2 linked regions of the Oreochromis niloticus genome follow. The protein of the gene in region 1 interacts with the protein of each later gene in a pairwise test. Links are inferred from orthologs where the notes say so. Each region holds a gene or a part of one and is shown on either strand. Other genes may lie near its edges.

Region 1 (3,756 bases):
GTGTTTGTGAAAAATAGAAGCGCTAACATGAAAAACATTAGGCTGAGACAGGAAGTGAAAGGGAGAGAGAGTACATCTGTTCTACAGAATGGTCACAAAGATCGAGATGAAATAATTTCCACTAGGGATCAATAAAGTATTCTGATTCTGATTCTGAAGATCAGTTTGACAGACAGACGACATAACATTCGACCATATATCCAGTTATAGTTAACTAATGCATGGAAACTTGCAAGTGTGGTTACACACACTCAGAAATTATGCTACAGTTTAACTGTGCGCTCAGGTACTTAGGTAAATAGCACTATACATCTTTATCCATGAATTAGAGGCAGGCACATTGATCCAATTATTAATAGTATCGACAACAACACTGGAATTGGTATTGGATCGATAGTAGTGTGATAGATACTTTGTTTCTATCGTCTAAATTCACTGAATTATATTTTTTTTGTGAATTAAATAAATATACCTCAAACATCCAGTATGAAAAATGTCTGAATCTTGTGTCTTGTTTATAGCCAACAGCACGTTTAAACAGCCTGAGCTGTGTGTTGGAGACAGACACATTTACAGCTCAGTCGTCCAAATACAAAAGGCTGAAAGGTGTGTTTTCATTGTGTTATTCATTATTGTAGAATCTCAGTGATTTAGTGGCCATTAAGTTGTGTTCAGAATTTGCACACCTGTGATGAGTCATGTCATAAATCATGACACGCGCTCCCCTACTTAAGGTACCTCTGTAGCTCAATAGTATTGGTATCGGCCCTGTATTTACTTGGTATCGATACTAGAATCAGCTGTGCTGGACCCGGTACCATGAATGAATGTGCTGACGTGTAGCGGACGGTGCCATCTGTGACGTAAGCGTTTTCAGACAACTGTGGGCTTGTTTTCTCCTCCAGCGTACTCCTCGTGTTAGTGAAATAAACACGGGCCATACAGCAGCAATGGCTACAGTTTACAAGATAGCAAGACACGCGTGGTCACACTTTATGTGAGACAATCTATAAAGGAAGATTTAATATGAAAGTCTGGCATGTGTGTAACCACGCGTGACCGCTGCACGCGTGACCTCCTCCCGCGGGTTACCCAAATACAATTCACGAGCGCCTCCGAGGAAGGCGATCGTTGCATTCGACAGGAAAAATGGCGGCGGCCGTAACAGGAACGCCAGAGCGAGCAGAGAGTGAAATAACAGCATGTTCCCCACAGCCTGCTTACACGGCAGCACCACACCGCGAAGCTTTATCTGCGGAGGACTTCGTGGCGGGTTTCCTGGAGGACAGAGACACCGAGCTGATGTGCTCGAAGACCGTCGGTGAGCTGATGGAGCATCTGACCGAGCAGAACAACACGCTGAAGGAACAGGTGAACGAAACAACGCACAGAAATCATCACATATACCGAGACACAGCGAAGACACGCGTGAGATGTTGTCCTGCTCGCTGTGTCAGTAACATCGTGACAGGTGTTACCCTTACGGCCGTGAATTGTTTCGGAAATTTGGCAACCCAGTCTCACAGTTAAAAACAAACAAACCCTGTAATTGCTCCCAAAAGGCTGATTGTGTCCATCTGAACGTTTTCAGTGGGAGAAACGTTTCGTCATCATCCAGGTGACTTCTTCAGTCTCAGCTGACTGCAGCTTTATAAACAGGACATTTGCACAGTGACCTCACAGCCCACTGAATGAACTGTGGGCTGCCAGCCAGCATCTGTCTCCTAATCACAGCTCAGTGAAAACGTGCACAGGCCCAGCGCCAGGCAACATAACTTACAGGTGATATGAGATTAGTAGTGGTGCAGTTATGTGGACACTGGCGTGGGAACAGTATGACGGTGCATGTTTCTATATATCTCCTTTTTACTCAGTAAACTAAAAATGTAAGACGTCTATAACACTGTATTTTCACACATTTCTGTGTCCTCGCCAAAAGGTTTTGAGTGTCAGAGAAACACGTTTGTGCGTTATTGTGAAGTTTATGCACTTATTTATAGTTAAATTAGATTTATGGTAGAAATCTCTTTAGGAATAAATTTTTTGACTGTGATTGTATATACTGTACCTTGTTTTGAGCTCAGTTTAGAGTTTATATAGCTTTAAATCAAACTGTACTCCTCCAGGCAGCCAGTGGGAGGCGCTGGTATGAGCCACTGCCAGAAGTCAGTGTTTTGATTGTGTTGAGTCTATTCCGGCTCTTTCTCTCCGCTTTCCAGTCTGTGTTGTCAAAAAAGACTTGAATGACAAACTCCTGCTTGTTGGGTTAAACCCCCTGTTGTCTGGTGGCTTTGAACACACCTGGAGAGCAGCTTCATTTTCTCCTCAGAAATATCTCTAAATATCGCTAAAAACGTTGTTTTTCCTCATGTTGGAGTTTGTTAATGCGGTGGTTTGAAGGATTCACACCAACTTCTTCCCAGTAAAGGTTTTAATGGTGATTACAGGAACAGTTGTTGTTGTTGTTTTGGACGCTAGAAACACGTTTTTGTTTTATTCATTTACCCTGAGCTCATCGTCTCATCTTAGCAGACAGAAACTGGTTAGTGAGTTATTACTAAGTTACTGACTCCATTTAATCAGCAGTGAAAATAAGTCACCAGGAGCACATCACTGTTTCAGACAGCCTAACATACAGTGTGTCTGTGCTTTCGGGCACTACCTAAAATCATCTTTGTTGTTATTATTTATTCTTACAGCAGTGGATCATAATGGGACAAGAGCTGTACTTTTCCAAAGAAATAACAGTTTTGTGCATCATGCAGGTCTTTTGTTGTACCAATGAAAGGTACATTTGTTGATGCCAAGTTTAGCGTTACATCCAGGATTCTCTTCAAGAGAGCTTATAGAGCTCTGTCTCTGTTTGTATCTGCTTTTGTAACGGATGATCGCGGTTGGTTGTGGCCTCTTCCTCATGTACTCGTGGATGTTTAGAATAGAATAAAATAATCCTTTAATTGTCCCACAAGGGGAAATTTGGTTGTAACAGCAGCAAGAAAAAATATACAAACAAACAGCGCACAGAACAGAAACATACACAATTTTTTATATATATATATATATATATATATATATATATATATATATATATATATATATATATATATATACATGTGTATATATATATATATATATATATATATATATATATATATATATATATATACATGTGTATATATATATATATATATATATATATATATATATATATATATATATATATGTATATATATATGTATTTTTACATCAAGGACAATAGTTACAAAAACAGAGTACTGTACAGTTATTAACATTAAATAAAATGAAATACATTTTATTTACAGATAAAATGTATTTCAGATAAGAGGCAAACCCAGGTTGTAGTGTGAATCGGATGATAAAATAGTGCAAGTGACAGCGCTGATGTAAACATCTGTGTTTGTTGGGAGCAGTTTTGATTGTACAGTCTGACAGCTGCAGGGAGGAAGGACCTGCGGAAACGCTCCTTCATGCATCGAGGATGCAGGCTCTGCAGTTCAGCAACATTTACATGCATGGGGTGGGAGACTGTCCATCAGAGATGTTATTTTGCCCAGAGTCCTTCTGTCTCCCACCACCTGCACTGGTTTGACGTCTCATCCTGTGTGGTGCTGACACTCACCAGTCCCCGGCCTCCTTCCTTGTGCTTAGTGTGCAGCCTCAGGATGCTGGACTTGGGGTGAAACTAGTGCTGGGCGATATATCGAGTTTTTAAAATATATCGATATATTTTTATAC
Region 2 (3,756 bases), on another chromosome or scaffold:
AAAATCCATCTCATTGGCTATTAGTGTGCAGTTTTTACACGTTGTTTTGTTTGAGTTGATATGGCTAAACTTACAGGCCAGATAGTTTTGATGATGCATTGCACTGTATTACGAGAAAAGACCGTTGAAAGTCTTTCTCTTGTGTAATGGGTCCAACACCAATGTTTACAAATATATTACGTGCCTATACGACATAAGTGCTTAAACGGTCTAATGGAGTGACTTCAATAAAAATGCAAAAACGACATTCTACAAACTGACAACCATAAATACACCGAAATAAAGTTTAAATAAATTCTATAGTGCCAAATGTAAACATGAAACACTACGATACATCACATCACCAACAGTTGAACCTCTGTCCAGTTCAGCTGTGCACAGACTGAGAGTTATGATCCAAATAGAGCGGGGCTGTGGAGCTCTGTTTACCGTTAGGCACAGCTAGCAGTTTGCATTTCGCATTAGCTTCGAGCTTATGTTAGCTGTCATTACATACCAGATCCATTGGGTCCGATGATTGCAGTAAACTTGTGAAAAGGTCCGATAATCTGCCTTCCTTTATACGACTTGAAATTTTCGATCTCTATCAGTTTTAAATAACCCATCTCGTTCTATTTGTTTAGCTGGTCTGCAGTGAATATTAGCTTAGCAGTTAGCTAATGCTAACAACCAATGTTTACCCGGTAAGCTGTTGCAAAGACGCAGTGTGCACGAAATGAATGAACCCCTCTGGTCAATCTACTGCTGCTCTATGCACAAGTTACATTATGATCTGCGCAATCGTTTTAAAAATTAAAATAAAAATTATAATCTTTATCAAATATATTCGGTACGGCGGCGACAACAATGCGCCATTTTACAATCCAACAGGAAGACCCACAAGCGCGCGAGACACGAAACCTCACAGTTTCTCGCGAGACCAAATTTAGTTGTCTGGCGTTTGTCGTGTTTTGATTGTTATCTCGGCCTTGGATATCACTTTTTACTACTATTAATGCTACTTTATTACAAATTATACACATTATTAAAAAAATAAAAAGACATTTCCTTAGCTGGTCCTGTCACTCTCGTTATGTATTTCCAGCATATCGATGTGTGTCCACATGTTTCCATGGTTACCAAGCGTCTCCAAACACAACAGGAGCAGATTTTCATTCACTGATATTGACTGAAAGAAACTGAGCAGATTTATAACGTCAGCGGTAAGTGGTGTATGTCCATTTTTAAGGAAAAGCCATTTAATTTAGTCCACTTATTCTTTAAATATGCCTTTAAAGAAGCATTGGTTTTTGATGTTATCAGGTGATGACAGGAGCAAATCGCTCTGAAGATGAACCCCACCAGGATTTTATATTTCAATCGGCATAGTCATTTCTTTAATAATTTATTTTCAGGCAAGATTATCAGCTCTGATAATAAGTGTCGTAATGCTGTCTCTTTAGGAAGTCACTACAAACTTTGAACATGTACAAAGTGGATTTGCCTGTAGACGAGTCCACGGAAAAGGCTGTGGAGAGGCGTAAGGCTGCAGAAACAGCACGCAAGGCCCGCATTTTCAACACCCGGCTTCGTGTGATGGGTCTCGACCTAGATACACTAAACCAACAAGTCCAGGAGAAGAAACACCAGCAAAACATGGAGAAACAAAGGGACAAAGCTTTGGGTAAACTGAAGGACAGGGATGAGGTAGAATTAAAGCAGTATAATTGCAGACATAATTCCTGCAAGACGCTATAAATGCAAGTCCCCTGGTCCCCTTATTGTTTCAGGCCCTCTCCATTAATGAGCTTTGGTTGGTCACAGGTGTATTTTTAATGTATTACAGATAAGTTGAGAATATGCCAAGATGAAGTACTGGTGCAGCAGAACAATGCTGAAAAGGAGAAGCGAAGAGTTTTGAATTCTGAACTCACCAATTACTGGGCTACTCATCAGCGAGCAGAGGACTCTCGTGATGCTGATCTTAAATTTGACCTGAAGGGGGCATTCAAGATCGCCATTCCAGAGGATGAGCTAGGGCCTGCCAGTATGCAAATCTTTAAGGTAGGGCAGCTCTGACAAAGCAGGTGATTTGTATGCTTTAAAGACCGGGGGGGGGGCTCCAGCTAATGGTTAAATATGTAATATTGTTACCGCTTATGGTCATCTGTCCTTGTTTCATGCACAGGGAGAGGGTGTCGGAGAGGAGCTGAGGATGAGAGAACAAATAAGAAAGACAGAACGAGATCTGCGAGCACAGATGGATGAGAATGAAAAAAGGCACATGCGAGACAAGCACATAGGTGAAAAGAGACACACACACACAAGTACACACATTCACTAGCATTCCTAATGAGCTTACATCCTTTACTCTACAACCTCTGTACATCACACACATGCTTCATGCTTTCCTGCACAAACAATCATACACTCCCATGCACAGCCCTTATTACCAGGTGACAGTGATGGATGCTCATCCCTAAGAGCCTTACTGTAAGTGTGAAGTGTGCAGTTGAAGAGCCACATACAACCGCTAATGCAGGTGTGAAAAACACACATCAGATGATCCCCAAATCATGTGTGTCACAGAGATGCTTGTGAGCAAAGAGCTGGTGCAACAAGATGTGAGAGGGGCTCAGCAAGCTGCCCTCGAGGAGGTGTGTAAGAGAGCTACCCGCATCGCGCTCGACAACTACAATCAGGCTCTGGTACAGTATATGTGCACACTCACAGATGGACAAACAGATATGCACACACCACTCACTAATGTGAATCCTCAAGGCAAAAATCTAAGGGGGGGGGGCAAGCTGTGACATGATGTTGTCATGTGGGAATTGCAAGCTGAAAATGTCAAATGATGCATGCACACACTTGGTGCAGGATGGCGGCAATCATATTATTTGGCACCAGGCAACATGGATGGTTAAACAGCTTTGATGTATGCGTGGTTACTGTCTGTTTTTAAAAGCCCCCATTTAGCTCTTCCCTCATTTGCCTGAATGCACTCGGCTGAATCCCCCATTGGGAGGCATCATTGTAAATTCTTCAGGTCACTGTACTTTTTCATAGTGTTTAGTGGTTTCACTAATAACCACTCATGATGCACAAGCAAATACAGCTGACTGAGTGGCTCTCTCAGGACGACGTTCGCCATATGGCTGACTGGTAGCTCTATGCTAGGAGTAACCACATTTTAGAGACTGGGTTTTGCAATGCTTCTGAATCATCAGTCATCAGTGGGATAATCAATTAACTGTCCCTGGATCTGTGTTAAAGCCTCACCATGCTCTGTACACACAGGCTAAAGAGCAAGCAGAGAAACTGAAGGAGCAACACAAGAGAGAGGAACAGGAAAATCTGGCAGAGATGTGGCATACAATGACATCTGACATGATGACAGAGTGTGCAGAGGCAACAGAGAGACAGGTGGGAGGAGGGAGGCCACCACAGGTTCTACCAGACAGGTGGAAAGGAATGAGCCCTGAACAGCTGAAAAGCATTCAGCAGGAGAGAGAACAACAATGCCTTGAGAGACAGGTATTACACTCTGTACTCCACAGTAATATAGTCAAAGCTGCACACAGTATCCCACATATGGTATGTAGAATACCATGTGCACACAATCCCTTGAGTACTTGTGTGTTTTGTTAATGCGACTTCAGAGGTGGCCAGCGGGGGAATTGGGCGGGGCAAGTACTTGTGCTTTGGCACTGTGGGACAGAAAAACTCTTGTTGAACCTTAGACAGAACCAGGCTCAGGGGCAGGCAGCCATCTGC

Evidence for each region.
Region 2: the proteins of rint1 (region 1) and ribc1 interact in binary tests that used the Homo sapiens proteins (3 or more experiments, as listed by UniProt). The two-hybrid records come from large-scale screens. The link is inferred for Oreochromis niloticus from reciprocal best matches to the Homo sapiens genes RINT1 and RIBC1.

What each region holds. Positions count from the first base shown.
Region 1 is NC_031981.2:450,501-454,256, forward strand, and holds the start of rint1 (RAD50-interacting protein 1), read left to right. Parts: upstream 1-922; 5' UTR 923-1,149; coding exon 1,150-1,371; intron 1,372-3,756. UniProt on the Homo sapiens protein: Involved in regulation of membrane traffic between the Golgi and the endoplasmic reticulum (ER); the function is proposed to depend on its association in the NRZ complex which is believed to play a role in SNARE assembly at the ER.
Region 2 is NC_031984.2:20,063,259-20,067,014, forward strand, and holds the start of ribc1 (RIB43A-like with coiled-coils protein 1), read left to right. Parts: upstream 1-1,008; 5' UTR 1,009-1,202; intron 1,203-1,442; 5' UTR 1,443-1,464; coding exon 1,465-1,663; intron 1,664-1,825; coding exon 1,826-2,043; intron 2,044-2,167; coding exon 2,168-2,282; intron 2,283-2,568; coding exon 2,569-2,687; intron 2,688-3,279; coding exon 3,280-3,516; intron 3,517-3,756. Other genes in the region: structural maintenance of chromosomes protein 1A, read right to left, coding at 497-605.